2 linked regions of the Oryctolagus cuniculus genome follow. The protein of the gene in region 1 binds, or shares a complex with, the protein of each later gene. Links are inferred from orthologs where the notes say so. Each region holds a gene or a part of one and is shown on either strand. Other genes may lie near its edges. The genes, in order: IMMT and CHCHD6.

Region 1 (15,907 bases):
TAAACAGAGACAATTGCAAAAATACTTGTAGTTTTGCCAAAGGGAACAAACTGCTGTCTGAAGAAGTATTTGGATCCAGCTCGCAGGAAATATGGAGGATAAGAACAGGTTAAATTGGATCATTAGCAAAATTTAATCTATAAAGCCGGCGCCGTGGCTCAATAGGCTAATCCTCCACCTTGCGGCGCCGGCACACCGGGTTCTAGTCCCGGTCGGGGCGCCGGATTCTGTCCCGGTTGCCCCTCTTCCAGGCCAGCTCTCTGCTATGGCCAGGGAGTGCAGTGGAGGATGGCCCAGGTGCTTGGGCCCTGCACCCCATGGGAGACCAGGAAAAGCACCTGGATCCTGGCTCCTGCCATCGGATCAGCGCGGTGCGCTGGCTGCAGCGGCGGCCATTGGAGGGTGAACCAACGGCAAAGGAAGACCTTTCTCTCTCTGTCTCTCTCTCTCACTGTCCACTCTGCCTATCAAAAAAAAAAAAAAAAAAAAAAAAAAAAAAAAAAAATTAAAAATTTAATCTATAGAAAATTTTATAGGTCAAATAACCTAGATTCTTGATTGTTGGAAAACTCAGAAGAGAATAAGACAACATCAAATATTTATTGATAAGGCTAAACTGTGGTGTCTAAGGATTGATAAAGACCAAATTTTCTGACTATTAGAACTCTAGGATACCAAATACTACTTAGAATATGAAGGTAGGCTAATGAATGAGATGCTTAAGTTTTTAAAAATCAGCCATCGGGTGGGGGGGGGGTGTTGTGGCACAGTGGGTTAAGCCTCTGCTTCGGATGCCCACATTTTCTATCAGAATGCCTAGGATCATGTCCCGGCTCCTCTACTTCCCATCCAGCTTCCTGCCAATGTGCCTGGGAAGCTATAGATGATGGCTCGGTTGCCTGGGTTGCTGCCACCCACGTGGGAGACTGGATGGAGTTTTTGACTTCTGGTTTGGCCTCGCCCAGCCCTGGCTGTTGCAGGTATTTGGGGAGAGTGAAGTGGCAGATGGAAGATATTTCTGTGTTTGTTTGTGTCTGTCTATTTCTCTCTGTCTCAGGCTTCCTTTCAAATAAATCAATCTTGAAAAACCCACTATTAGATGAAAACTATTAATTTGCATCATTATAAAATAATTTCTGCATGACATAAACTACTATGACCAAAGATAAAGGGAGATCACAAACTCAACAGAAAACTTTACAAACAGGACAAAACGTAATAGACTCGTGGCTAATTTCTTTAAATATAGGAGGCTGGTGGTATGGTGTGCAACTGCTGCTTCCAGAGCCTGGGTTCTGGTCCCAGCTGCTCTACTTCCAGTCTAGCTTCCTGCTAATGGACCAGTTGGGTCAGCAGTTGTTGATGACCCGAGTTGAGCCCCTGCCACTTATGTAGAAGACCAGGATGGAGTCCTGGCTCCTGGCTTCAGCCTGGCCCAGCCCTGGCTTCTGCAGCCATCTGGGGAGTGAACCAGTCAATAGAAGATCTCTCTTTCTCTTTATGTCACTCTTCATTTCAAATAAATAAATTAATGAATTAAAAATATCTATAAATCACGCATGGACAAAGGCATATTAAAAAGATCAACCTAGTTTAAAAAGCGGACAAATGATACACTGACAAATCACAGAAAAGGCAATAAAAATATATATAAATCCAAATTTCCTAACAGGTAAGAGGAAAGAGAAGAAAAAAATATGGAAAGAGTATAATCATAATGAAGAGAATTGTGATTAAAATGACACTGAGACACTGTATCTTCACCCAGTGGATTGTCAGTGATAAAGAGATAACAGTGTGTTGGAAAGGTGTGGGAAAATTTATGCTATCATATTACTAGAGGGCAGTTTGGCTAATTTGACAGTATTTGTCATCATGGCAAATTTTACTTTTAAGAATACTTTTTAAAAATTGACTTGGGGCCGGCGTTGTGGTATAGGGAGTAGAGTCATTGCTTGCTACAACTGCATCCAATATGGTTGCTGGCTCGAGTCCCAGCTGCTGCACTTCTGATCCAGCCCCCTGTTAATGCCCTGGGAAAGCAGCAGAGGATGGTCCAAGTGCTTGGGCCCTCGCACCTATGTGTGAGACCTGGAAGAAGCTCCTGGCTCCTGGTTTCAGTCTGGGCCAGCTCTGAATCAGCAGATGGAAGATTTCTCTCTATCTGTAACTCTGCTTTTCAAGTCAATAAGATACAAAGAATTGACCTAAGATTGTCTTTTCAGTGTTACTCAGGCAGCATTATTTATGATAACAAAAATTTAGATGAGACTTCAGTGTCCATCAGTAGGAGGTAGTTGACAGTACATTAACTAGCATCCATAAATGGATCACTTGAGTTGTAAGATCCACTAGGAGGCTTTTCTTATTTTTTTTTAATTTTTAATTTTTTAATTTTTTAAAAAATTTATTTGACAGAGTTAGAGAGACAGAGAGAAAGGTCTTCCTTCCGTTGGTTCGCCCCCAAATGACCACTATGGCCAGAGTTATGCCGATCCTAAGCCAGGAGCCAGGTGCTTCCTCCTAGTCTCCTGGTCTCCTACGAGGATGCAGGCGCCTAAGCACTTGGGCCCTCCTCCACTGCCTTCCCGGGCCACAGCAGAGAGCTAGACTGGAAGAGGAACAACCTGGACTAGAACCCGGCGCCCATATGGGATGCCGGCGCCGCTGGTGGAGGATTAGCCAATTGAGCCATGGTGCTGGCCCTGGCTTTTCTTCTATTTTTAATAGGTTTTTCATACATTTATATACAATATCTAAAATATATATTTATATATTTATGTATTCTTTTTAAAAAATATTTATTTGAAAGAGTTACACAGAGAGAGAAGTCTTTAATCCGCTGGTTCATTCCCCAACTGGCTGCAAGGGCTGGAGCTGGGCCGATCCGAAGCCAGGAGCCAAGAGCTGCTTCCGGGTCTCCAACGCGGGTGCAGGAGCCCAAGGACTTGGGCCATCTTCCACTGCTTTCCCAGGCCATAGCAGAGAGCTGGATCAGAAGTGGAGCAGCCAGGTCTTGAACTGGCACCCATATGGGATGCCAGCATTTCAGGCAGCAGCTTTGCCCGCTACACCGCAGTGCCAGCCCCTAAAATATGTATTCTAGAATGAGCCTTAGTAAAGAACAGGGTGTATGTTTGGGGTGTCATTTGTAAAGATGGTAAAGGGCAGGAGAATGCACATTTGGGTAAATATGCATAGAATATCTCTGGTCAAACTGATGGCAGTAGTTGCTTATGAAGAGGGGAACTAGGTGGCTGGGAAACAAATTTGTGGAAGACTTCACTCTATACTTTGAAGTTTGATTTAAAATTTCAGATTTTAAATATAATACTAGGAACTTTAGTTATAGTGAAATATATTTTGCAAATATATATGGGTATATATATGGCTCACTTGAGTTGTAAGATCCACTAGGAGTCTTTTCTTAATTTTTTTAATTTTTAATTTTTTAATTTTTAAAAAAATTTTTTAAAAAAATTTATTTGACAGAGTTAGAGAGAGAGACGGAGAAAAGGTCTTCCTTCCATTGGTTCACCCCCCAAATGGCCACTATGGCTGGAGTTACGCCGATCTGAAGCCAGGAGCCAGGTGCTTCCTCCTGGTCTCCTACGAGGGTAGAGAGCTATGATAAAAGAAGAAACAGGGGTAAAGAAAAATGTTAAAAAGTACTGATGTGAATTTGGGTGTTCTCAAATTCTGTTAAAAGCAGTTTAAAGATGTTCAGAATTCTACACATTAATAATTGAATTTTTTTTGAAAAAATGATTTCATCTTTTTGAAAAAGTAGAGTCAGATCTTCCATTGTCTGGTTCACTCCCTAAATGCTCACAATAGCTGGGGCTGGGCCAGTCCAAAGCCAGGGTCCAGCAGCTCCATCCAGGTCTCCCATTTGGGTGGCAGGGACCCCAGACACTTGAGCCATCATCTGCTATCTCCCAGGAAGCTGGATCAGAAGCAGAATAGCCAGAGATACGAGCATCTCAAGGAGCAGCTTAATCCACTGCACCACAGTGCCTGCCTTGAAATATTTGTAAATACCAATTATGTCTGCTTTACATGTTTTAAAACATTTGGTTTATTTTTTGATTTTTCGAGTTAGATTAACATGAGTTAGATGTTTACCTCTACACTTTGGCAAATAGAATATAAATTGCACCTGTGATGCTAGAATAATTTCATATATCTTGTGATCATGGAATATGTTTTCTTAAAAGTAAAGATACTTAATTTTTTGTTAATTTAGTATGTATTTGAGAGAGAAAGAGAAAACCCTTGTATCCAGTGGTTCACTCCACAAATTTCTGCAATGACCAGGGCTTGATCAGGCTGAAGCCAGGAGACAAGAACTGAATCCATTTCTCCTATGTTGAGTGACATCCAAATTACTTGAGCCATTAACTGCTGGTTTCCAGGGTCTGCATTAGTAGGAAGCTGGAATCAGGAGCCCACACTGGAATCGGGCCAACATAATTGTGTTTTTTTAACTTTTATTTAATATAAATTTCGAAAATACAACTTTTGGATTTTTTCCCCCCATAACCACCCCCCACCTGCAAACCATCCCATCTCCTACTCCCTCTCCCATCCCATTCTTCATTAAGATTCATTTGTAATTATCTTTATATACAGAAGATCAACTTAGTATATACTAAGTAGAGATTTCAACAGATTGCACCCACACAGACAAAGTATAAAGTACTGTTTGAATATTAGCTTTACCATTAATTCCCATAGTATAACACATTAAGGACAGAGGTCCTACATGGGGAGTACGTGCACAGTGACTCCTGTTGTTAATTTAACAATTGACACTCTTATTTATGAAGTCAGTAATCACCCGAGGCTCTTGTCGTGAGTTGCCAAGGCTATGGAAGCCTCTTGAGTTCATAAACTCCGACCTTATTTAGACTAGGCCATAGAGTGGAAGTTCTCTCCTCCCTTCAGAGAAAGGTACCTCCTTCTTTGATGGCCTGTTCTTTCTGCTGGGATCTCGCTCACAGAGATCTTTCATTTAGTCATTTTTTTGCCACAGTGTCTTGGCTTTCCATGCCTGAGAAACTCTCATGGACCTTTTTTAGCCAGAGCTGAATTCCTTAAGGGCTGATTCTGAGGCCAGAGTGCTGTTTAGGGCATTTGCCATTCTATAAGAGACCGACATACTCTGATACAGGTGGTGGGCATCTTCTCTGCTAGGCCAAATGCCTGCTCCCTAAAATGTACTTTGAAAAGAAGGTTTGTGTTTTTCCAATGTTCCTTAGATACAGTTAGTTATGGAACCTGGTTAAAGCATTTTCCCTGTTATTGCAGCTTGATTTCTACTTGGTATAAAGAATATTTTGTTTATGGTTACAATAAGTTTGAAATTTCAAGTTGATAAGTTTTAAATGGTTTCAAGTTATCAGTACCTTCCCAAATAGTATTTAAGTGCTTGTTTGCTTAATTTAAAGGATCCATATATTATTATTAAGGAACATCTGCATTTGTATGTTTTAGTTGGATTAAAAAAAAGTCACAAAATATTGCCTTAAGTATGTTCTATGTATAATATAAGAATTGGGCTGATTATCTGGAGGTAAGTGTTCTGAACATTTACCACATCTGGTAATATTTTTTTTCTGTTGGCTTTTGGTTTAATGATACATATACTAGAATTAACCAAGAATGAACTTTGTAGATTTAGATGAATGCCTCTAGGAATTGACTGTCTACAAAGTTAGCTTAGAGGTGGGAACTTTGGGTTTTTGATAAGTTAAGCTGAGATTGGAACTTTTGCATGAATGGATGTGTATATAGCCTATAATGCTTTGTATTTAATTGGACTCTAATTTTTCAGATATCTAAATTAAGTAAAATAGACATTTTATACTGTTGTTTTTTTCTTGCTAGTTAAAGCATGTGGCAAATCCCAGTTGTATTTGAGCAATAGTTAGCATACATGGCACTTAAAAATATTGATTGGTCATAGTCTCATAATTCTTTTTAAAAAATATTACTAATAGGAGTCTTGGTGCAGGAAGCATCACTGTTTCATTTCTAAGAATATAAATGTCTCTTGACTTTGATTTCTGAAAATAAAATTTTTGTTTACTGAAGACATTTAAAATAAAGGTATTGTTTCTGCCTTACCAACTCTAAAAATGCCCCACATTTCTTAACTCTATCGGTTGCAATGTTTTTTTCTCCTTTAGAGTTGTCTCTGCGGGAAATTTGTCCTCCGTCCATTACGACCATGCCGAAGATACTCAACTTCAGGCAGTTCTGGGTATGTAGTATGTCTCGGCTTTTGACTGTGTGTGTGTGCGTGTGTATGTGTATGTGTGTTTTCCTGGAATATCGGAATAGCTGCCTAAAACCTTTTAATAAGAAGTATATACTCTAGAGTTTTGCTGTGGTATCTTTGGAGGGACCTTCTGGAGCACTGTTGTATTTCTGGGTGAAAAATTTTTATGATGCCTTTTGGTTTTTTGATAATCAGCATCCAGTGGAGATGCTGCCCCTTCCCATGTGCCATCTTCTGTTCCATGGCAAATAGATTTATATGCAGAACTCAGCATATTGTAGCTTGAAAAAGTGTTCTGTTTGATATTTTATGATCTTTTGTAAAGGATTAATTTTATTGTATTTACAATATATAATTAAGGGAGAGGAGCCTTAAAAGGTCATGGTAGTTTTTTTTTTTTTTTTTTGAGTTTAAAGGAAATTGCATAATTTGAATATCTAGAGTTTTAAGTGTTGAAGGATAGATTGCTTCATTCTTTCTCCCTTAGATACTGTATTCTAAAAAAATTTAGTTATCCCTATATGTTAGGAGTTTTTTGTTGCAGACTTGTTGAAAAATCAGAAAAATATGATGTGCTACTGTGGTAGTAAACTTGGCTGCTGTGATCTGGATCAGTGGTAGAGAAGTAGATGTTACAGATCAGAGTTCTTTGATTCTCCTAAGTTGGAGAATAGATACAGGAAAGCCAAGAAATATAAATGTGTTCCCCATTTCTTTGATATAGGTTGACTGCTGGCAAAATTGCTGGAGCTGGCCTTTTGTTTGTTGGTGGAGGTATTGGTGGCACTATTCTTTATGCAAAATGGGATTCCCATTTCCGAGAAAGTGTAGAGAAAACCATACCTTACTCAGACAAACTCTTTGAAATGGTTCTTGGTTCTGCACCTTACAGTATTCCACTGCCAAAGAAGCCGGTAAGAGGTTTGTTTGTTTGTTTAGCATTTCAGTTTATCCTATGTAAGGCTTTTAAAAGGAGGTTCTTTTCATCTTGAAAATATTTTGGAAAAACAAATTGTAAAGTTTTATTATAACTGTAATTCAGTACAGCCTGTCAGAGGTACTTCATTTCTGTTTAAATTGAACTGGTAGTAATCTATAAGGTGAGTGTTTATCCTTTTGGACATGCATAAGTGCATACCATGGGGAAAATAATTGTGCGATCCACAAGGGCAAATAGAGGAGCAGTATAGGAGGAAGTAACCCTGGTTGCCCTGTGGATCGAAGGGGAATCTGTCAGTCTACGTTGTTGCAGCCGTCAAGCTCTGACTTGACAGCCGTAGATGTCAAATGGTCATGACGCAGCCCACATGTTACGTTAGCAATGGCTTCTTTCAGAGCGTGAAACAGTCACTGAAGTTTCAGCTACATTTTGATTGGCTGACAGAAATATCTTTCATTGTTCATGAGGCTTTGTACATACTCTTCATTTTCACTCCTTTTTCTGCATCAGAATTAAACTTTTTTTTTTTTTTTTTTTTTTTTTTTGACAGAGTGGACAGTGAGAGAGAGAGAGAAAGGGTCTTCCTTTGCCGTTGGTTCACCCTCCAATGGCCGCCGCGGCCGGCGCACTGCGCTGATCCGAAGCCAGGAGCCAGGTACTTCTCCTGGTCTCCCATGGGGTGCAGGGCCCAAGCACTTGGGCCATCCTCCACTGCACTCCCTGGTCACAGCAGAGAGCTGGCCTGGAAGAGGGGCAACCGGGACAGAATCCGGCGCCCCGACTGGGACTAGAACCCGGTGTGCTGGTGCCGCAAGGCGGAGGATTAGCCTAGTGAGCCGCGGTGCCGGCCAGAATTAAACATTTTTAAAACTCAACTATTTCTTCATTTAAACATAGCTTCTTGTAACAATTTATTAAAGAGTATGAATTTTGGGTTTTTGATATTGGGCAATTCTTCATGCGATGAGGCTAGACATGGCTAATCCATTCATTCAAAACTGGATGAGCTTCAATTCTCCAGTAGGTAGAATGATGTAGGACCAATTTTGTAACAAAGATGATATTTAGAAAATCAAGTGTTCCGTGGTTGCCTGCCTACCCCACACTTCAGCCATCCTTTTCTTTCTTTTTTTCGATCCATTGACTTTTATTACAAATGTACTTGATCACTTGGCTTCAAAAGTTTAAAATCAATACCCTAGTTTCTGTAGGCCAGTACACAGCAAACTTTTACAAATTAAATACCTAGAAATTTGACCAAAATAGTAAAATCTGATGAAAATTGTGAAAATCCTTAATCTCTTCAAAAGAGTATAGTCTTCCCAGTTCTATTATACAATATTAATAATATTCACCATTTTTAGACTAGGTAGCTAAATTACATTTTTCTATTAGCATAAGAAAACTCTTACTAATAGATATTATTTGTATATGATCCAGTTAAGTTTGTGAATGCCATCTGATTGCAATATAATCAACTATCTTTAATTGAATTCCAATTTATACTTATTTAAGAATTTGTATAGTTGGAAAGGGATACAGGTTATTCTACAACATAGGCTGTGATAGTGCTGTTTTTCAAGGCAATAAGTATTTGTGCCAAAATGAAATTATTTTCTTTAGTCAGGGGTTAAAATTACTAGCAGCTTTCTTCATTACCTGAAAAATCAAATTGGAATAGTTATCCATATCTAAATGTGAAGGCCTAAAAAAACATTGATATATTTTCCACTTTGAGTCAAATTTCAACCCCTGCACAAGATAACTAGAAAGTGAGACTTTCAAGTTTTTTTTCTTTAATTTCCCTGTTGGCTTTAGCTTCTTTTCTTTTTTAAAGATTTATTTATTTATTTGAAAGTCAGAGTTAGAGAGAGGAGAGGCAGAGAGAGAGGTCTTCCATCCGCTGGTTCATTCCCCAATTGGCTGCAATGGCCGGCCGGAGCTGTGCCTATCTGAAGCCAGGAGCCAGGAGCTTCCTCTAGGTCTCCCACGTGGGTGCAGGGGCCCAAGGACTTGGGCCATCCTCCACTGCTAACCCAGGCCACAGCAGAGAGCTGGATTGGAAGAAGAGCAGCCGGGACTGGAACCGGCGCCCATATGGGATGCCGGCACTGCAGGTGGCAGCTTTACCCGCTGTGTCGTAGTGCCAGCAGTTTATTGCTTTCATAAAATAAAACTGTGCATTTTATTTCAGAGTATCTGCTTTATTACCTGTATGATTATTTGTGTAGTAAGTGTTTTCTCAATACTTACTATGTAGACATTAAAACTTTTTTGATAGACATAGAATAAGACCTGTATGAATGGATACTAATGTTATATTCATAGATGGAACTTAATGTCAGAAAGATGTTATTTCTCTTATGTGTCTCATAAATATGTTTTTACGGTATGTGTACATAAACATACAAAGAAATAGGTAAAGAATTCTAATGACATTTTCTAGAGGGTGAGGTACCAGACCTCATGATTTTAAAGTTCATATGGCAGAATTCATGATGTACAAGACTAGCCAAGAAAATTTGGAAAAAGGATGGGAAAGGGTCAGAAAACATTTGCTTTCTACCTATTATGTTGCTTTAATCAAATCAGTTCTTGACAACAGGAATAGAAATTAGAGGAATAGCACAACTACTGGAAATAGATTTTAGAAATAGATTTTATTCATACACGTTTATTTTGAATGTGAATTGGTAGAACTGTATGTGAAATTGATCTGTTAATATCAAAAATATAGCACCTTGATCCAGCAGTTCCTTTTCCAAGAAATTATCTTGCAGATAACATACAACAGCACTTTTTATTTATTTGGATGTTCATTGATTCAGTGTTTGTGAGACAAAATAAACAACTGGAATGTTGAATGGTTGACTAAATTCTGAGATAGTCTCTTTTTTTTTTTTTTTTTTTTTTTTTTTTTTTTTTTTTTTTAAGTTTTAAGCTTTTTATTCAGTGAGAGAAATGTATAGGAGAGTGAGGGCCCTATCTAAAAGAGAGAGGGAAATCTGGGTTCATACCAAGTACCAGGAGCCAGCCATGTGGAAGAGCATGGAGGGCCAGGAAGCATGGGGTGGGTGGCCTGAGGGCCATGCGCCCCAAAGGTGCAGGACAGCAAGGCCCGCAATGCACAGGGGTGGAGGGAGAGGTTTCAGGCCGGGGCTTCCTGAGCTAGCTGGAAGGGAAAGGAGCAATGAAGAGACCATGTAAAACCACTGATGTATGCAAGTATTGCTTTGCTTGTTTCAGTGAGCCTGTGTTTCCTAATTTAGGAATGATAATGTTTTATTAAAAATAAAAGGGATATATTTCTTGTAGTTTCCTGTGGGTAAGTAGTCATCTTAGGGATATCTGAGACATGCTGCCAGGTTCTGACAAAATGTGAGACATCACAGATGGTAAATAAAATATTTCTGTTACTCCTTAACTTTCTCTGGCACATCTCTGGAAGTCTTTTATGGATAGTACCTTAAATCTAAGGCAGGTAGTAACTGGAAAAGAGAAAAGCAAGCATTACTCACAAATTGATGTGTAATTGCATGAATCCTGGAGATTAAAGAAACAAAAACTGATTTTCATTTTTACTCAGATTCTGTAGTAAACTTTGTTTCTGACACTGTAATTTGATTTAGAAAGTAAATAGAAACACCTGCTTGTTGTATTTGTAAAAGAATCTTTAAGGGGAAGGGCATATGTATACTTTATTGTTTGTCCTAAAAGAACCTTTTGTTAGTACTAAAATATGCATTAGTGATTTGGAATAGAATTTTTGAACTGCAAATTTTCTAGTAATGATGACTTTTCTTACTGTGATTAATAAAATGCTTTTGTTGTAAAGCACTCATAATTTCATATTAAAAGCCTGAAAGACTTGACCTTTGAAATATTATAAATTGTTGTGTGCTGTCTTTTAGAAACAGTATTATATGTAAATTTTTTTTTTTTCCCCTCAAGATTCAGTCTGGTCCACTAAAAATCTCCAGTGTATCAGAGGTAATGAAAGAATCTAAACAGCCCGCCTCACAACTTCAGAAACACAAAGGAGATACTCCAGCTTCAACAACAGGTACTTCTATCTAAAACCATTCTTTAAAAATTATGGGGAAATGAATTGTTTTGATGTATTTGTCAAGAGAAGGCCCCCGGGGAAGGACTCTTCTGGTCCCCAGCTCTCACAAGTCATTCTTGTGCTCAGTTTCAGAGTTGAACATAGCATTGAGCTTTATTATGAAGAACTGAGTGAGGAAACAGTATAGGTTGTCTGGCCTGAAACATATTTATCTTTTTTTCCCTCTGACTCCTAGACTTTTCGCCTCTTTGGGTTTTAAGATTTATTCTCCCCCACCCCCCACCTCTTTTATCTACCTCTTCAGCAGTTCTTTAAGTAATCAAAGTGTCTTTTTGTAGTTCCTGCAGATATATTTTATCTTTGGGTTTCCCAGTAAACCCACCCTAATTTACAACTTGCCTAACTCTAACATGTTCAACATGAATTCAGTCTCCTTGGCTTTCTCCATAGTGAAACTTGTCCTTGATTCAATCAGATGTTTGTTGGCAGATGGTTCACTTAGTGTTATGTGCAGTCTTCTAGGCACCATTGGGTATAGTAATCAACAAAATCATTTTAGAAACAAAAAACCTCTGCTAATATTTCTTGGTGGGATTAAGGGAAAGAGATCAAGTAAAATGTCAGTATGAGAAGGGGAGTATTGCAGTTTTAAATGGAGTGGGTGAGAAAAGCCTCACTTGGAAAGTGTTACTTGAGGAAAGGCTAGAAAGAGAGAAGGGAGTAAGTCATGTAAAAAGCTGGTGGGGAGGCATCCCAGGCAGAGAAGCTAGTGGAAAGAGGCTTATTCAAGTGAGAAGCAGATAACGCTGGAGTAGAGTGAGTGTGGGACGCACAGCAGCAAATCCTACCAGAGAGGGAGCAGAAGGCCTGTTGTGGCAGTCAGTACTTGAAGCAGTGCTAAGAGATTTCATTTCTGAGTGGTGTGAAGAGGTGTTGGAGGGTGCTAAGCCAGGAGGCTAATACTTGACTTGAATTTTTGTAAGATCACTCTGGCTGTTGTGAACCAAGAAGGGACTGAGGGCAGAAGCAGGGAAGCTAGTTAATGAGTTTTTAACTGAGACCTTCAATTTAAAAAAGGAAACTGCATCCATTGGTTCCTCCTCCCATTCCGTCCCTAGAATTACTTCTTTTTCTTTTCCATCAAAACTTGTCATTAAAGTTGCAAGCCCTTGATTTTTAAAACTCTCTATGAAGTGTTTCTATTAAATGACTTCTGCTCCTAATTTACTGCCATCACTGTGAACTTTTCTTCTTGTATTTGAGTGTCATCTTGTTCCTGATCAGATGTCTTCTTTCAGTATCTACTATTCTTCAGAGTAATTGAAATTATTCTTTGGTCCGGGCCAGTGCTGTGGCTCAGTGGGTTAACGCCCTGGCCTGAAGCGCTGGCATACCATATGGGCGCCGGTTCGAGTCCCGGCTGCTCCACTTCCGATCCAGCTCTCTGCTGTGGCCTGGGAAAGCCGTAGAAGATGGCCCAACTGCTTGGGCCCCTGCACCCACAAGGGAGACCCGGAAGAGGCTCCTGGCTCCTGGCTTCGGATCAGTGCAGCTCCGGCCGTTGCGGCCATCTGGGGAGTAAACCAGTGGCTCTCCTCTGTCTGTGTAACTCTGACTTTCAAATAAATAAATCTTTAATAAAAAGAACAATTACTTGTGACACATTTTAAAAAGAAATTATTCTTTGGTAAATTTTGCTTTCTTTTGTGACCCTTCTTTATTACAGACTCTTTTCCTTCATTATTCTCTTTCCATGTTACAGAAATCTGATGTCTACTTCCTACATGTTTTTTTTTTTTTAAAGATTTATTTATGGCCGGCGCCGCGGCTCACTAGCTAATCCTCCGCCTAGCGGCGCCGGCACACCAGGTTCTAGTCCCGGTTGGGGCGCCGGATTCTGTCCCGGTTGCCCCTCTTCCAGGCCAACTCTCTGCTGTGGCCAGGGAGTGCAGTGGAGGATGGCCCAGGTGCTTGGGCCCTGCACCCCATGGGAGACCAGGAAAAGCACCTGGCTCCTGGCTCCTGCCATCGGATCAGTGCAGTGCGCCGGCCGCAGCGGCCATTGGAGGGTGAACCAACGGCAAAGGAAGACCTTTCTCTCTGTCTCTCTCTCTCACTGTCCACTCTGCCTGTCAAAAAAAAAAAAAAAAAAAAAAAAAGATTTATTTATTTATTTGAAAGTCAGTTACACAGAGAGAAGAGGCAGAGAGAGAGAGAGAGAAAGAGAGGTCTTCTCATCTGCTGGTTCACTCCCCAGTTGGCTGCAACAATTGGAGCTGCGCTGATCCGAAGCCGGGAGCCAGGAGCTTCTTCTGGGTCTCCCACGGGTGCAGGGGCCCAAGGACTTGGGCCATCTTCTACCACTTTCCCAGGCCATAGCAGAGAGCTGGATGGGAAGTGGAGCAGCTGGGACTCAAACCCCAGGCCTATATGGGATGCTGGTGGCACTACAAGCGGCGGCTTTTCCCACAGTGCCGGCCCCATACTTCCTTACATGGTAAGGATTAGTACTGTTACTGGAAGTCTTGCCTGAGTGTAATGATAGTTAAAATGCAGATGAATGTTGACAAGACTTCTTTGTCTTAGTGCTTTTCCAACTATCATTCAATTTGTGTGAGTTTGTGTTTGCAGTGCATGGTGCCCCTGTTTGTATATTATTCAGATGTATGGCATTACATGCCTTTGTGTTTTTAAGGAGTCAGATGTAATGTGGGCAGTTCTAGCAGTCGATTATTACGTGTTTGCTCTATTAATCCAAAAAAATATAAATGCCACGAGTAACATATATTTATAGCACCTACAGAGGCAGCTCAAATTATTTCTGCAGCAGGTGATACGCCATCAGTCCCAGCCCCTGCAGTTCAGCATGAAGAACCAGTAAAAATTGATCGTCCTGAAATTACTGGAGGAAAACCCACACCTGTAACTTCAGGTAGTTTAATTATTTATATTTACTGTTTTATAGATAAAGGGCTCATGAGAATTACTTAATGCCTAGGCAACTCTTAGACATGATGTAAGTATACATTTCTACTGCTCTTAAGTTTTTAGACTGGTTCAAGAAATTTGTTAAAAGTCCTAATAACTCTTTGAAACCAAGAAGATTAAGAGTTGATCCCTTATGCATTTTGGAATCATTAAGAGTGATGCAGTTTTAGAATTCTCGCCAGAAAAATGCTCTGCATTGATGTAACTGACAAGTGTGAACGATGGTGTGAGCTGTGAAAATTGTGTGCTGAAATTTGATTTACTCTTATTTACTTTTGCTGCAAGAGGAAGCATCCTCATCTTCTGTAAGGGAACGCCCACCTGAAGAAGTTGCAGCTCGCCTTGCACAACAGGAAAAACAAGAACAAGTTGAGATTGAGTGTATGTAAATCCAACAGCTTCTCAAGTCCTTATCAACTCTCAGTTGCTCTCAAACCTCAGCACAAGTTTGTCGTCTGACAGTCGGGTTTCTTTTTCTTCAGTGGCATTGCTCTGTTCACCACTTTAATTTCATCCCTTGTGTTTTTCACATCCGAATTTCTTTTGTGCAGAGTACAAGGCTATTAGTATATAGTTGGTGAACATTCCAAGTAATCCATGATCTTTTTCCGTTTGTTATGGCTAGTGCTAAAGATTCTTTATGCTCTGTGGGGGGGTGTGTGTGTGTGTGTATCAGAAATTGTGTATGTTTCAGTGACTTGCCTAAGAGTCTTTTAGTTGGTAATGAATGTGTAAGTACCTCTGAAGGTCAGAACAGCTCACTTTCTGAATGAGCGCCCCTGCCTCTGGACTCGCCCTCCAGTACTGCACTTACCTGGCGGTGGTGGGAGGTGGGATCTTCTGTATGGCACTGTTTCTAGCGATAAGCAAGTATATCCCTTTTTGTTTCACTTTTATGTTAAGGCTTTTGATGGTTTTAAAAAGTAGATAGCTAAAAATGTATTTTTCCTTACTGAACAAAGCACATGGGACACAATTTATTGCACTGTGCGGCAGATATTAATGTCTGGGGAGATGTCGTGAGCTGTTGTTTTAGATTCATCTAGCAGCTATTTGCAGTTTTTGATCTTTCCTTGTTACTGTTTGTTCTGCCTTGACGGGCTCCTCCTTTGCTTCTACTGCATTGGTTCTGTCATACTCTGAGGAATCAAGATGTTAGGGTTATGTAAAAGAGTGGAAGAGACAGAATGATGAGGGGTTAGGACATGAGTTTGGCTACCTGAATTTGGGTTTTTGTCTTTTTTCATATTGTTCCGAGTTCTTGACTGTGTGACACATGATTGAGAATTGTTGAATAGTTGACTTTTAATAGGTGAAATATTTCTACATTTTCCACCTTCTTAATTTTTCCAGAATCCTCTACTGTTTCAAACTGAGTTTATTGTTTTTTGGTGTGTGTTTTTTTCTTCCTTTATACGTAAGCACCTTGAATTAAGGTATAAATATGAGATGGAAGTATCTGCTGTTTCATCTCCCTTTTTTCTTTGTCCAGTTCCTTTTGTCTTTGTGAGTGGAATGAAAGTTTCCATGATTTTGTTTGCCCCTCAGATTCCCCCAAACTTTATGTGTGCGTGTGTGTGCTTGTGCACATGTGGGTGTGTAATTTTTACCCAGGGTCAGATCACAGTGA
Region 2 (16,339 bases), on another chromosome or scaffold:
AAGATCAAATTTGGGATTAGAGGGTAGGGGGCTTTCAATCCATCCCCCTACCTTCTGGGAGGGGCAGAAGGGGGCCTAGAGATTAAGTTCAATGAAAGGTCTAGGACAGATTCAGAGAGCTCCCGAGTTGAGGATCAGGTTCATGTGCCAGGAGGGTGGCACAGCCTGACTCCATGGGGGCGGAGGCTTCTGCCTGGGACCCTTCAAGATCTTGACCTATTTATACCACACTATCTGGCTGTTCAGTTATATCCCTGTGATAAGGCATAAGTATAGTACTTTCGTGGGTTCTGTGAGTCTAGTGAGCTACCTAACCTAAGACAGGGAGGTGCTGGGAAGCTCCGAACTGGTGCTCAGCTGGGTGGAAATGCGGCTTGTCTGGGCACCACATGTGTGGCTGGCATCTGAAGTGAGGGGCAGTCTTGAGCAATCGAGCCCCGAATCTCTGAGCTCTTCTCTAATCCTGGGAGTGTGAGAATTGATGTGGAAGACACCCAGGTGATGTCTGAGAACTGGAGATGGTAGTTGATAAGAATAAACTACATAACTGATGTCAGGGGGGGAAAAATTATGCTTTTGATGCCAGAAGCCATTGCTACCACTTTCAACCATAACCTCTCTTCCCAAATTTTCTCTCGCTAGCAAATTTCTATCTTATCTCCTTCCTTCTCTCCAAACTCCACTCCTCCAGCTGAGCTGGCTCTGCTGCTTCTTCCTACTTCCGCCTCTCAAAATCCGCGCAGGTTGTACCCAGCTGAGCAAAAGCCTCAACGGGTCACCTCAGCAATTTCAAGCATAAAAACATCTCCAGTTCAGCTGCTTCCAGTGCTTCAGGCCTGCGGGGAGGGAGGGGAACAAGGGGCTCAACTGCTCCCATCCCACAGCTGAGCCCCAGGTTCAGGAAGGCGAGGACTAGCAAAGAGCTAGGAAGGGCTCGGCGCCACCTGCTCCTTTAAGCCCTTCTCCTCACTGGAGTCTGGACTGTGGGCTCACCCACTCTTCCAGTGAGCTACAGTGGCAGCCCTCAGTCCACCTCCTTTTTTCCCACCAGGCCTCCAATCCTCACCAGTGGTTTCCAAACGTTAGCCCTGAGGAAGTTTTTAATCAGTGCACAGTGAAATGGAAACGGGGACAAGTGAACAGCGTGGCAAACCATTTACCTTCAAAGGCATGTGCACGCCAGCATCACTGGGTGATGATTTTACCACCTAGAAACACATCTTGCTAAGGCAGAAGACCCATGGGGTATGGTTACTGTACAGCGGAAGTCACGAATTGGCTGTTGTCATGACACATCTGTCCATAGGAACGCACTGGGACTGTCGTCCCTCAGTGCTATCTTAGTGTGGGAAGTCTCTTGGTTGTTCTAAGCATATTTTGCGTAGATAGGTCTTCGCAGGAAGCCATACAGGATCAGTGAGTTGTTCACTCATCAGCCAGCTGTTGGCACTAGGGCTTACTTGTTGGTCTCTTTCCTGCTCCTCCCGGGAGAAAATACTGCTCAGCCCCTGGAGGTGGCTGGGGCCGTGCAGCTACTTCTAGCCATGCCATGTCCGAAGGGGAGGGAATTCTGTTTCCCAGGCCTGAGAATGGGGGTACTAACACTCCCAGGGGGATTTTGAGGACTCAATACATTAGTCATAGATTAACCATGCGGAAAGCAGGTGTGCCCGTTCCGTGGCGCCTGGCACCGAGAAGGTGCTCAAAAACAGCCATTTCTCCTCCCCTCCTTTCCTCAGCATTCCTAGGCCACCGCCTCTACTCAAACCCGCATTCCACTGTGGGGGTCTAATGTTACATCATCTCCACTTATTTTCTCCGTGATTTTCCCACGTGTGCAGTGTGGCGATGGAACCAAGGGCTGTCACGAGGCTCATCTGTGCTGCTGTCAGTGTAACCCCACTCTACGTTTGTGGAATTCCAAGACTCCCAAAGGACTTCCCACAGTGCAGGACCGTGGAGGTGAGGCCCAGGTAGTGTTACGACCACCCCTTGGCTCTGGCCTTTATTGTGTAGAATTAGTTCAAGGTGTTAACTATTTCATCATCTGCTCCAGAAGAAAGTGTCAGCCCTTTCTCCAATTGTTCCGAATCCCATTTACAGTGGTAGAAGCCATGCAGGCATCCAGGAGCCTTTGAAAATATTTGGAACAGGTAGTGGCTGTCAGTAGGGCCTCACTTGGATTTTGTTTGCCAGCTGGTGAGCCTCCCTGAGCTGCTATGGTGTGGACAGCTGATGGTTCACAGATGCCCCTTTTTCTGAAGAATCTTCCTCAGGTGCCCGGGGTGGGAAATGGAAGGCAGCCCCCTTTTCCCAAATTGGGGCCATCTTCTACTGCTTTCGCAGGCCATAGCAGAGAGCTGGATAGGAAGCAGAGCGGCTAGGATTAGAACCGGCACCCATATGGGACGCTAGCACTGCAGGCCGGGGCTTTAACCCGCTGTGCCACAGTGCCGGCCCCTACTTTTTTTTATTTATTTATTTTTGCTCTTGTTTCCTGTGCTTTTGGTGTAATGTTGGAAAGAGTCATTGCCAAGAGCAACGTCAAGTAACTGTTTCCGTATCTTCCCTTCTAGGAGTTTTATAGTTTCAGATCTTACATTTAAGCTTTTAAGCCACTGTGAGTTGATTTTCCTATATGGCCTAAGGATCCAATTTCACTTTTTGCATACTTTCTTTCCCCTACTGTGTGGCACTCTCATCAGAGATTAGTTGACTTTATTTGCATGAGGTTATCTCTGGGCCCTTTTTACTGCTCTGTTGGTCTATATGTCTATATGTTATGCCAGTACCACACTGTTTTGATTATTATAGGTTTGTAATATAATTTGAAATCAGGGCATGTTATTTTCCCAGATTTGTTCTTTTTCATGATTGCTTTGGCTATTTGGGGTTGTTTGTGGTTCCATAATGAAATGTTAGGATTTTTGAAGAATTTCTGGGAAAAACACTATTGGAATTTTGAATACAATTGCACTAAATCTGTAGATTGCTTTCGGCAGTGTGGACATTTTACCAATGTTAATTTCTCCAATCCAAGAACAGGAGATATTGTTTCATCTATTAGTGTCCTCAGCAACACTTTTCATCGTCTTATGGTTTTCAGTGCACAGATCTTTCCACTCCTTGGTTAGGTTTATTCCTAGGTATTTTATTCCTTGTGATGGTATTGTCAATGGTATCATTTTTAAAAAAGATATGCTTACTTAAAAGGCAAAGTAACGGTGCGGGGGGGGGGGGAGTGAGAGAGGAAGAGAGATGGATCCTCCATTCCTTCATTGGCTGGTTCACTCCAGCGGGGGGTAGACCAGGCCAAAGCCAGGAGCCTGGAACTCTTGGGTGGGTGGGTGGGTGGGTGGGTGGTGGCAAGGGCCTGAGCACATTAGCAGGAGGTTGGATCAGAAATGCAGAGCAGCTAGGACTCCCAAAGGCACACTCTGAAATGGGATGTGCCTACCCCAAGGCGCAGAGTGGCTCAACCTGCTGCACCACAATGCCCACTCCTTTTTTTTTTTTTTTTTCTTGACAGGCAGAGTTACAGAGTGAGAGAGAGACAGACAGAGAGAAAGGTCTTCCTTCCATTGGTTCACCCCCCAAATGGCCGCTATGGCCGGCGTGCTGCACCAATCAGAAGCCAGGAGCCAGGAGCCAGGAGCCAGGTGCTTCCTCCTGGTCTCCCATGCAGGTGCAGGGCCCAAGCACTGGGCCATCCTCCACTGCCTTCCCAGGCCACAGTAGAGAGCTGGCCTGGAAGAGGAGCAACCGGGACAGAATCCGGCGCCCCGACCGGAACTAGAACCCGGTGTGCCGGCGCCGCAGGCGGAGGATTAGCCTAGTGAGCTGCATGCGCCGGCCAGCCCACTCCTATAATCTTTTCTGGATAGTTTGTTGTTAGAAATCAACAATAGATTTCTCTCTGTCTCGCTCTCTCACTGTCCACTCTGCCTGTCAAAAAAAAATTAAAAAAAAAAAAAAAAAAAGAAATCAACAATAGGGGGGGCCGGTGCTGTGGTGCAGCGGGTTAACGCCCTGGCTTGAAGCACCAGCATCCCATACGGGCGCTGGTTTGAGTCCTGGCTGCTCCACTCTGATCCAACTCTCTGCTATGGCCTGGGAAAGCAGTGGAAGATGGCCCAAGTCCTTGGGCCCCTGCACTGGCATGGGAGACCCGGAAGAGAATTCTGGCTCCTGGTTTTGGATTGGTGCAGCTCCGGCCACTGTGGCCAATTGGGGAGTGAACCATCGGATGGAAGACCTCTCTCTCTCTCTCTTTCTCTCTCCTCTCTGTGTAACTCTGACTTTCAAATAAATAAATAAATAAATAAATTTTTAAAAAAAAGAAATCAACAATAGGAGGAATTTTTGAAAATTCACAAATGTGAGGAAATTAAACAACACATTCCTGAACCACCAATGGGACAAAGAAGGAATCAAAAAAGGGAGAAATTTATTTATCTGGAGACCAACAAAAATGGAAACAAAATATACCAAAACTTACAGGATGCAGCAAAACTGTTTTTAAGAAGGAAGTGTATAGTGATAAACACTACATGAAGAAAAAGACAGATCTCAAATAAACAACCTAACTTCATACTTCAAGAAACAACAAAGAAAGGACAAACAGCCAAAGACAGAACAAGGAAAGAAGAAAGATCAGAGCAGAAATAACTGAAATTTCCAGAAATCAAGACAATGAACAATAACAAAACTCAGAGTTGTGTTTCTTAAAGATCAACAGAGCTGACGGCCTTTAGCTAGACGGACCAAGAAAAAAAGAGAGAGAGAGTACCAAGTAAAACTAGAAATGAAAGGAGACTTTATAACTGATATCACAGAAATACAAAGGATCTCATAATAGATGTCTTCACTATGAACCATTATATACCAACAAACTAGAGAACCTAAAAGAGATGGTCACAGTCCCAGGTATATACAATTTAGCAAAACCGAAACACCAAGAAAGAACATTTGAACAGAACAGTAGCAACTAAGGAGATTCAGTTATGGAAAACCCCCCAGCACAGGAAAGCCCAAGACCAGATAGGAACGCATCCTTCCTTAGCTTCCCCCACCTTGGCCTTGACCTGCTTTCTTCACTTTCTTCCCCCGGGGAACTCCCAGAACAAACCGCTGGCAGCAAATCCCCATGCAACCCCGCACAGAAGGAGGAAATGGGGCTGTACCCTGAGTGAGGCCTCTACTAACCACCCCAGCCTGGGAATGTTCCCGGCTTCTCTGTACTGAGCTGTTTTCAGCCTCAGGGCATCTCACTGGTGTCTCCCCCTACCCTCTCCCCTGCATGCCCTTCTGTCCAGGTTGCCCAAAAGGGGCTGCCCATAATTCTTCCTGCTTCCGGAAACAAGCTAGAGTCTCTCAGCCCCAGATTCCAAGCTGAGTCTCAGGGTCACTTTGGTGAATCAACGCCATTGAGCAACGGAGAGGAACGAGAGGGGGCCTCATGTAAGGTAGTGGCTACGAGTGGCAGTCCTCTGCACCAGTACACATAGGTCCCGGGGAGAAGCATCAGCACCACATTCGGTCCAACGCACTCAACACGCACCATCTATGCTCCTTGGACAACGTCCCTCAGACCTTCAGGGCCACTGCTGCCTGTCTCTCAAGGCATCTAGAGTAACATCCCAACCCCGACCCCGTCTTGCGAGACCCTCCCCGCTCCTCCGACCTCACGGCCAGGGCTCCCCTCGGCTCCCTCCCTGCTGTCCAGCCACGCCGTGGGCCTCTTTCACGCGTCCCCACGGCCAGGCCCTGGTGCGTGTGGGTTTCCAGGGGAGTTCCTCTCCCACCTTGTCCGTAGGTCTCAGTTCAAGCGCTTCCTCCTCGGTGACGTTGCTGGGACCCCTCAAATTCAGGGACTCCTGTTACGTACGTTATGGCAGAACCATGACGCCATTTTCTGTTTATCACAGTTTAGTTTAGTTTTTTTTTTTTTTTTGCTTGCTTCGGCTCCAACACCGTAAACTTGTGGGAACAGGGCACTCAGTGCCTGTTTGCTGAAGAAATGAAGCCATGGACTGCCAGAAGTTCGCCTCAGCTTCCTGGGTGGGCTTCTTGCTTCAGAATACCTACTTCATCTCTGCTTCAAGAGTGAATTTTCTAAAGCAGGCCCTTGGCCATGCCTCCTCTGCTCGGTAGTCCGCCATTCCAGGCTCTCCTGAAAGCACCCAGCCTCTACCTCAGCCTAACATGCCATCTATGGTCTGACCACCACGCCCCCACGGTGCTCCCTGCATACGGAAGAGGCCTCGGACCGGCAGAACTACAACTCCCAGAAGGCATCGCGCAGCCGCCGCCATCTGATTGGTCGATCTCCGGGTGGCGGCCAATAAAATTTGGTTTTGTTGGCTTGCACCCCGCGACAGCCTGAGTCCTGGGAAGCGCAGGACGCCCACCGCGCGGCGTCTGCCTGGTTGCTCTGGAGCTGTGGAGCGTGGCCGCCCGCCGGCTTCCTGCCCTCCTCCAGCCATGGGGAGCACGGAGAGCAGCGAGAGCCGCAGAGTGTCCTTCGGAATGGACGAGGAGGAGCGGGTCCGGGTGCTGCAGGGCATCCGGGTGAGCGGCCACCTGGGCGGGGGCGGGCGCGGAGGGCACCCGAGGGCGCGGAGGCCGTGGGCCCGGCCTGAGGGACGGTGCAGAGCGAGAGCGCTGCCGGGGGTGTTTGCCGCCGCCGGACGCTGGTGGAGTCCTCCCGCTGTGTGAAGGGGGCGTGAAGCTCGGGAGACGCCCGGGGCCCCCTCCAGGAAGAACCTGCGTCTGGACGCGAACCCGAGGCTGGCGATCTTCAAGCTTCACCGCACTGGCCTGGGGGAGAAGGAATGGGGAGCCGGACACACGGGGAGGCCGCTGGGATACGAGGGAAGCCTGGAGCCGCATTCCAGCCCCGATCGGGGGCATTTTTACGTTTCTTTTGTTGGGCCGCCGCCGCTCCCCTCACCTGCTAGGTGCGCGCGTCTGGTTCTGTGTGCGGGAGATGCAGCCGGTCCCGAGCGACAGCAGCTGCCTTGTGACCGCGGCTCTCAGCTCCCACTCTTGCCCCGACTGCCTGTTGTCCACAGCGCACCCAGAGGGGCACCTGCAGCATCGTGAATCACATCGCGTACCCACCCCTTGCTTACAACCCCCCGAGCGATTCCTAGCCCATCACCATGCAGACACTTCTTACCCGGCCTGCTGACCTCTCACCCCCGGCTAGTTCCCTATTCCCCAACTGCTGCCTATTGGCTAGCCCCTTGTTCTTCCTGGAACATGCCAGCTTGCTCTAAGCACAGGATCTGAGCACCAGCTGGTTTTTTGGTGTGGGTGTGTGTGTGTGGGGGATTTGTTTATTTGAAAGGCAGAGTCACACATAGAGGAGAAACAGAGATCTTCCATCCTCTGGTTTGCTCCCCACCTTGGCAGCACCCCATCCTGGCCTGGGCCAGCCTGAAGCCAGCAGGCAGGAACTGCATCTGTTTGCCCACCGTGGCTGGAGCTCAGGCACTTGGGCCAGCCTCAGCTGCTTTTCCAGGCACCTTAGCAGGGAGGTGGATCCCAAATGGAGCAGTCAGGACTTGAACCAGTATCTCTAGGGATGCTGGCACTGCAGGCTGTGGCTTAACCCTCTGGGCCACGACATGGGCCACAACTGTTGTTTTCCTCTTCTACTTTTTGTTAAGTTAAATCCTGGTCATTCTAGTTAAGTGTCATTTGAGATGCCTTCTTGACCACTGTACGTAGGAAGTGTCTCAGCTCGCTGTCACACATACATTTTCATAGCATTCATCATACTTTGAACTTTTTTTTTTTTATTTTTGACAGGCAGAGTGGACAGTGAGAGAGAGAGACAGAGAGAAAGGTCTTCCTTTGCCGTTGGTTCACCCTCCAACGGCCAGCATACCGCGCTGATCCTAAGGCAAGAGCCAGGTGCTTCTCCTGGTCTCCCATGGGGTGCAGGGCCCAAGCACTTGGGCCATCCTCCACTGCACTCCCGGGCCAAAGCAGAGAGCTGGCCTGGAAGAGGGGCAACCGGGACAGAATCTGGTGCCCCGACCGGGACTAGAACCCAGTGTGCCGGCACCGCAAGGCGGAGGATTAGCCCTGTGAGCCGCGGCGCCGGCCTGAACTTTTTCTTAGTAACTGTTTCGCTCTAGCATGTAAACTCCTTGAGGTGAAGGGTCTTGTCTAATTCTCCCTCTACCCCAGAACCTAGGATGATAAAAGCAACTCATTTTTTTTTTAAAGATTTATTTATTTATTTGAAAGAGTTACACAGAGAGAGGTTCACTCCCCAATTGGCCGCAAAGGCCAGAGCTGTGCTGATCAGAAGCCGGGAGCCAGGAGCCTCCTCTGGGTTTCTCACGCAAGTGCAGGGGCCCAAGGACTTGGGCCATCTTCCACTGCTTTCCCAGGTCATAGCAGAGAGCTGGGTCGGAAGTGGAGCAGCCGGGACTAGAACCAGCGCCCATATGGAATGCCGGCGCTTCAGGCCAGGGCGTTAACTCGCTGCTCCACAGTGCGAGCCCCAGTAACTTACTTTTCAGTGTGTAATGGACCCATAGGTTGTGCCAAACCTTTAGAGAGATCATTACATTTAATTTTCAGTAGTCTTATTAGTAAGGTAGAATTATGTTCATCCATTTTATAGATATATAGGAGAACTGAGGCACTGGAGAGCAGGGATTGAAGCAGGCCAACCAAATGGCCTGTTCATTGAGCTACCATGCCGTACTGTGCCTGTGCATGGCCCACAGTGGGTACTTTGTACATAAGGGTCAAGTAGTTAGATGAGTGCACCTGTTAAGTGGACTGTGTTTAAATGGAATGCATGGAGCTTGGTATAGGTGAGATTAGTAATTAAGTGGCTCCGAGAAAGATTGAGAGATCTGACTTCTAGGCCCAGGTGCTCATTAGTTGTGTGACCTTCCTTGGGTGAACCATTTAGCTTTTGAGCCTCATTTGCCCAGTTTAAAAAAAAAAGATTCAATGCAGGTGTGTGAGAGATGATCCTAGGAGCTGCGTGGGGTAAAGTGGAGATGTGGGAAGGTGTTTAGAGAGCGTGTAATCTTTGTAGAGCCTCTTCTTTGCAGAGTAGAGGGCTTGGCACATTGGGTGCTGTCTAGGTGTAGTACAGTGTTGTCGACTTGGCTGTGGCAAAGATAAAATAGGGAGGAGATGGCTAGAGCTGAGAGGGGCAACGACCTGAATTGGAATTTAGAAAGGCCTCCTTGCTCTGTGTGCCCCTTAGTCTCTTATTTTGGGACATGTTGGAAAATTAGCCTGGAGTTTTCAAAGGTTTAGGTTCAACCTTTGGAGGTGACTTTTTTTTGGGGGGGGGGACGATAGGCAGAGTTAGAGAGAGACAGAGAAGGGAGAAAGGTCTTCCTTCCGTTGGTCCACTCCCCAAATGGCCGCTACAGCCAGTGCGCTGTGCCAATCCGAAGCCAGGAGCCAGGTGCTTCCTCCTGGTCTCCCATGCAGGTGCAGGGCCCAAGCACTTGGGCCATCCTCCACTGCACTCCCGGGCCACAGCAGAGCTGGGCTGGAAGAGGAGCAACCGGGACAGAATCCGGTGCCCCAACCGGGACTAGAACCCAGGGTGCCGGCACCACAGGCGGAGGGGGATTAGCCTAGTGAGCTGTGGTGACTTTTTGAGGATTATATAAGTTGCAGGCTTAGGTTTAGAAATTTGCCCAAGATGTTACTGGAGTTGCTCTGTGATTTTTTTTTTTTTTTTTTTTTTGACAGGCAGAGTGGACAGTGAGAGAGAGACAGAGAGAAAGGTCTTCCTTTACTGTTGGTTCACCCCCCAATGGCTGCTTTGGCCGGTGTGCTGCGGCCAGCGCACTGCGCTAATCCTAAGCCAGGAGCCAAGTGCTTCCTCGTGGTCTCCCATGCGGGTGCAGGGCCCAAGCACTTGGGCCATCTACTGCACTCCCGGGGCACAGCAGAGAGCTGGACTGGAAGAGGAGTAACCGGGACAGAATCCGGCGCCCCCACTGGAACTAGAACCTGGGGTGCCGGCGCCGCAGGTAGAGGATTAGCCTATTGAGCCGCGGTGCTGGCCGACTTCTGGGACTTTAATCCAAATCTTTTGGGTAGAAAAGTCAGCCTTTTCCCACTGTTCCACTCTTACGCCCGTGGCAGCCTGGAAATTTGTGACCTGTTCTGATAGGGACGCTGGTGCCTCACTTAGTTTTTTCAGAGCTTTTAAACTAGAAGGAACTTTGGCGATTGCTTCCTTTCCCACCCAGGCAAACTACTCAGAATACATAACTCGTCTGGAGGTGCACCGAGAGGTACAGGGCCCCACATTAGGAGAGTCCCATCTGTCCTGTTTGTGCACTGGTTGGAAAGAGGAAGAACGAAGAAAAGCAGGTGTGGTATTGGAATGTTTGGTGCAGGAGCTTTTCCTGTTAGCAGATTACCTGAATGTTGAGGGGTTCGCCTTGTCTTCAGACAGGCAAGCAAGAATCAGTAAAAGAGATGGTGAGGGTGACACAGGAGTCACCAAAATGAACAAATGCACATGCAGTGGGGGGAAGCAGCTGAAGAAGAATGTTTGCCCCACTCTTACAGAGAAAGTCACCTATTCTGAAAGACTCCTTGAAGGCAACCCCAGAGGCAGGGCCTAGACAATGCCCTAGTCCCCTTAAAATGAAGCACTAGGGCCGTGTTGGTGCTTTAACTAGTGTGTTCAAGCCCCAATTCCATGGGAGGTAAAAGTTTTAATTAGTGCAAGATGCTGCAGTTATATTCACCTTTATTCAGACCAAGCATGCATGAAATACCTAGTTTTTTTTTTTCCAACCAGTACATTTAACCTCATTGTCCTATAAGAGAAGACACACATATGACAGTGATGTCCTGTACATGGTTTTCCTCTTCCCATCCCATGTAAGCAACCATCTTTGGCAAATGGTTGTCAACGTCCAAATTCCACGCTGTCCTCCAGCCTCGTCCCCTTTCCAGCCTCTTGGCTCCCCAGTGTTCCAGTCCCTTCTGGAGCCTGCTTCTTCTGCCATGTTCCCACACTCGGTACACCTCCATGCTAGACAACTTTTCCATTGCTCATTGTTCCTATGAGGCCGATTGTGGACCATTGTTGAGGGGCAGAGCAAGAAAGGTATAGTCAGCCACACAAAAGGCAGTCCCCAAATGTGGCAGTGGCAAAGAGTCTACATGCCAGAGCACTGTACCCACAGCTGCCACGTACCACCTCAGCAAATTTTTTAAAAATATATTTTATTTTAGTGATCTTGCATCTGCTGGTTCGCTCCCCAAGTGGACACAATGGCCAAGGCTGAGACAGGCCGAAGCCAGGAGCTCCATCCAGGTATCCCATGTGGCTGGCAGGAGCCCAAACACTTGGGCCATCTTCTGCTGCTTTTTCCATGTCATCAGCAGGAACTGGATCGGAAATGGAGTGGCTAAGAGAAGAACCCGGTGCCCATAGGGATGCTTGCGTCACAGGCAGCGGCTTCACCCTCTTTGCCACAGCACTGGCCCCCAGCGAATGCTCACTGTGAACATGTTTCTTGGACTGGGTCTAGCCTTGCAGAGACAATAAGGAACAAAGCCAGGGCCCTTTCCACTCTGTAGACAACCTAGTCAAGGGAATGGACCAAAAAGAAAGTTAAAACAGCTGGAAATGTGAAAAAGGAATAAAAAAGGGTACGGGGAAATGGGGCTCATCTGCCTGAGGTGGGGTGTCAGGTAATGCCTCCCTGAGGAGGTGACACGGATGGTATGACCTGAGCTGCTCTGGCAAGAGTGAGCCTGCGCCAAGCAGCGTGCCAAGTACGTTCAGATGCTAATCCTGTGAGGGGCTCATCATCCCCGTTTCAGAGGTGAGAAGCAGGTTCAGTGAGATGAAGTGACTCAAGGTCACGGAGTGAGCTGGTGGTAGCCCTGGAGGCTCAGGCCCTCCGACTCCATAGCCTTTGTGCTTGGCACCACCAGGGATTAGGAGGTTGGGCAGTGTAGGGCAGGCTTGGAGGCCAGCCTGGGCGGTCCTGGATGTTATCCTGGAGGCAGTGTTCTGGAAAACTAGTATCCAGTGATGCTGATTTTTTCCCCTTCTTTTTTAAAAACAGCTCTAGTGAGATGTATTTTACATATCATTAAATTCACTCATTTCAGTATTTTTTAGTACAGTTACAGAATTGGGCACCCATCACTAGAGCTCAATTTTAGAACGTGTACAAGACCTAAAAAGCTATCTTGTGCCTATTTGCAGTCACTTGTCGTTAACACTCCTAGTCCCAGGTAACCACTAATCCTCCTGCCTCTTTAAATTTCCCTTCTCTGGACATCGATGTCTTTAGTTTGGCTTCCTTCTCCCAGCACAACGCTTTTGCTTTTGGCTTACTGATGTTGTGTATATTAGTAGTTAATTCCTTTTCACCACTGAATAGTGTCCTGTGTATGGACATACTGCATTTTGTTTGTTTACTCCCTTATTGATAGACATTTAGTTGTTTCTAGTTCCTGGCTATTATGAGTAACGCTGCTGTGAACATTCGTGGACAAGTTTTGTGTGTGTGTGTGTGTGTCGGGGGGGCACGTGTTCATTGTTCATGGATAAATACCTAAGAGTAGGCTTGCTGGGTTGTTCGATTTGTGAATTTGGTGCATTGTTAAGTCTAACTTTTAAAGAAACTGCCCAAGTGTTTTCTAAAGTGATGGTATGATTTTATATTTTCACCAACAGAATATGAGGATTCGTTTCTCCACGTCCTCACCGATACTTATTGCTGTCTGCCTTTTTGATTATTGCCAATTCTAGTGGTTGTGAAGTGATATTGCATTGTGGTTTGAATTTGCATCTCCCTAATAGTTAATGATATTGACTATCTTTTCATGAGCTTATTGGCTGCCCATGTGTTTTCTTTGGTGAAGTGTGCGTTCAAATCTTTTTGTCTATTTATAATTGGGTAATTTGTCTTCTCATTACTGTGTTATTAGATTCCTTTGTGCTGGGTTTAAACCTTTTATTAAATCATGGCTTATAATTTTTTATAGAAGATTTTTGTGACTATGTTCATTTAAGATTATTATCTCTCTTTTTTTTAAGATTTGTTTGTTTGAAAGGCAGAGTTACAGAGAGAGAAGGGAGAGCTCTTCCATCTGCTGTTTCACTCCCCACATAACTGCAATGGCCAGGGCTGGGCCAGGCTGAAGCCAGGAGCCTAGAACTCTATCTGGGTCTCCCATGTGGGAGACCAAGGACTTGCGAGGACTGGGCCCATCTGCTGCTGCTTTCCCAGGTGCATTTGCAGAGAGCTCCATCAGAGGTGGAACAGCCAGAACTTGGATCAGCTTCCATAAAGGATGCCAGTGTTGCAGGCAGCAGCTCAACCAGTGAGCCACAACACTGGCACCTGCAAAATTGTTTTCAATATGTGGCTTCTAATTTCGTAATAGTTTCTGAAGCCCAAATGTTTATAATTTTGATAAAGTTTACTTACCAATTTTTTTCTTTTATTTGTTGTACTTTTAGAGTTGTATCTCAGAAATCTTTGCCTAACTGATGGCCATGGTAATGTCTGTTTTTTCTTCTAAACTTTTTTTAGTTTTAGTAGAGTCTTTTTAAAAATTTATTTGACAGGTAGAGTTATAGACAGTGAGAGAGAGAGAGACAGAGAGAAAGATCTTCCTTCTGTTGGTTCACCTTCCAAAAGGGTGCTGCGGTGGAACTGTGCCAATCTGAAGCCAGGAGCCAGATGCTTCCTCCTGGTCTCCCATGCGGGTGCAGGGCCCAAGCACCTGGGCCATCCTCCACTGCCTTCCCAGGCCACAGCAGAGAGCTGGACTGGAAGAGGGGCAGCCGGGACTAGAACCGGCTCCCATATGGGATGCCGGTGCTGCAGGCGGAGGATTAACCAACTGAGCCACAGCGCTGGCCCCCTAGTAGGGTCTTTAATGTGATCCATTTTAAGTTAATTTTGTGGATGTTGTGAAATAAGGCTGTTGGCAAGATTTTCTGTAAAAGAGCAGATAATAAATGCATTAGGCTTTGTACATGTGCAAGGTCTCTGTTGCAAATACTCATTTCTGCCATTGTAGGTGGGAGTAACCATAGACAATATGTAAATGAATGGATATGCCTATGTTCTAAGTAAGACATTTGTTTATGAAGTGAAGTGATAGGTTGGATTTGACTCATACACAGGAGTTTGCTGAACTCTGTTTTAAATCATTTGTTTTGTTTTGTTTTGTTTTTAGGGATGTGAGTATCTCAGTGAACTTTGTTGATAAGACTATTCTTCCTTGTTGAATTACTTTGAGATCTTTGTGAAAATCCATTAAGCATAAATGTAGCTTTCAGTTCTGGACTCTCAGTTCTGTTCTATTAATCTCTATTTCTGTCCTTATGCAAGTACTGCATTGTGATGTTTATTTAGCTTTATGCTGAGTTTCAAAATTGCGAAGTGTAAGGCCTCCATCTTTGTTCTTCCTTTTTGAGCTTGATTTGGCTGTTTTGATTGTTTACATGTCTATAAACACTTTAGGATCGGTTTGTCAATTTCTGCAAAAAATCTGTTGGGATTTTGATAGAATTTATGTTGAGTCTATAGATCACTTTGGGGGAATTGCCATTTTTAGCAATATGGAGTCTTCAGTTTTGTGAATATGAGATATCTCTTGATTTTTATTAGAGCTTCCTTAAGTTTTCTCAGCAATGTTTTATACTTTAAGTCTACAAGTCTTATACTTACTTTCTTAAATTTATTCCCAAGTGCATTGATTCTTTTTGATGCAAATATACATGGAATTATTTCCTTAATTTCATTTTTGGATTTGTCATTACTGGGATGGAAATATAGTTTATTTTTATATATTGGTTTCACAACCTTGTTAAACTCATTTACTAATGCTGGTGGTTTTTTGGTGGGTTCCTTATGATATTTTAGATAGGATCATGTTGTTTTCAAATAAAGACAATTTAACTTCTTCCTTTCCAATTTGGATGCTATTTCTTTTTCTTGCTTTATTGTATTGGCTAGGATTTACAGTACAGTGTTGAGTAGAAAAGGTAAAAATGAATGTCCTTGCTTTGTGCCTGAATTTAGGGAGAAAGCACTCAGTTTTCTGTCATCAGCATGTTGGCTGTAGGTTTTTTTTGATACTCTTGATTGGATTGATGATTTTTTTTTATGGTCTTAGTTTTCTCTTCCTCTCTATTGTTGTGTCCTGTTTTTTATTTTATAAGCTCTAAGAAGGCAAATATTGTTTGTTGTTGTTGTTGTTGTTGTTTTTTGATATTACAGTGTGTGGCTCATTGGTATATACGTATTGGATTGCATACTTGAAGTGATGAAGTGACAGTCTTCTGGCCAAGCTGGCAATCTTGGAGCAGCTGTGTGTGAGAATCTTAATTCTCTGAGGCTTTAATGCAGATTTGTCCCAATGCGTGCAGCTGTTTTCCACCATGCTGTTGCCCAGGGATTTGCCTCTGAGCTTGCTTTCTTGCATGAATGTCAAGTCTCCCTGCCATGATGTCTTACATTATTGGTTTTTTCCGTTAGTTCTTTGTCTTTCTGTTGTTTTTGCTGGATGTTGAGTTCTGTGCTTGGACTCCTGTCCATCTATAAAGTCAGCTCTTTTTTTGCACCCTTCATCTTGATGACTTACTTAAAGGCAGTGTGGTAAACAGAGGGTCTCAAAAGACTGGGACTTAGGCCCTGACACTTCGGAGAGGTAAGTCTTTCTCCTTATGTGCAAGATAAAAAATATTGTGTTGCACCTTCATGGACCCATAAGCATAGGTACTACGAATGGACTAGATCACAGTTCTGCTCCATTCTTCTCATAGATTTAAAGATGTATCTGGCAGACCCTTTGAGTGAGTACAGTGTGATGGATCTGCACCCAGAAATGCCAGCTTGGAAAGCCATGAAGCTAGCATCCAGCGTCTGGAGCGCTTCCCAGTGAGCACTGTCTGAGTTGCCAGTCTGGCGGACATTGCTTGAGTGCACACCACGGGGCTGCCCTGGGCCGGGTGCTTTCACAGCCTCCTCGGTTTGATGTTTCCAAGGCATAGTGCATCTTTGTGATACACACTCAGGGTTAGAGCACGAAGTAAAACCAGCTGTGCAGGAAGCAGAGCACTTTGCTTCCCCCTGCCTTTGACGCCAGCTGCCGAGGAGTGGAGAATCTTCTTCCAGCAGGACGGTGTGAAGACTTAGACAGCTGCCGGTAGGCTTCCTTGTGTTCCCTCTGTCTTTCTGGCTCAGGGGTTCCCCATCTCACGATGTGTGAGAACCACAGCAGAGGACTTTCTCCATGGGCACACTGTGTGTAAGCGGCAAATTGAGCAACTCCCAAGGGTTTATTTTAACAA

What was found.
Region 2: IMMT (region 1) and CHCHD6 share a complex: the UniProt entries of both Homo sapiens proteins name them as parts of the mitochondrial contact site and cristae organizing system (MICOS) complex. The link is inferred for Oryctolagus cuniculus from reciprocal best matches to the Homo sapiens genes IMMT and CHCHD6.

The regions. Positions count from the first base shown.
Region 1 is NC_091433.1:116,573,018-116,588,924, forward strand, and holds part of IMMT (MICOS complex subunit MIC60), read left to right. Parts: intron 1-853; exon of another isoform or gene 854-980; intron 981-6,191; coding exon 6,192-6,265; intron 6,266-7,007; coding exon 7,008-7,197; intron 7,198-11,174; coding exon 11,175-11,286; intron 11,287-14,083; coding exon 14,084-14,221; intron 14,222-14,562; coding exon 14,563-14,658; coding exon of another isoform or gene 14,659-14,666; intron 14,667-15,907. UniProt on the Homo sapiens protein: Component of the MICOS complex, a large protein complex of the mitochondrial inner membrane that plays crucial roles in the maintenance of crista junctions, inner membrane architecture, and formation of contact sites to the outer membrane.
Region 2 is NC_091441.1:109,684,978-109,701,316, forward strand, and holds the start of CHCHD6 (MICOS complex subunit MIC25), read left to right. Parts: upstream 1-6,358; 5' UTR 6,359-6,483; coding exon 6,484-6,570; intron 6,571-16,339. UniProt on the Homo sapiens protein: Component of the MICOS complex, a large protein complex of the mitochondrial inner membrane that plays crucial roles in the maintenance of crista junctions, inner membrane architecture, and formation of contact sites to the outer membrane.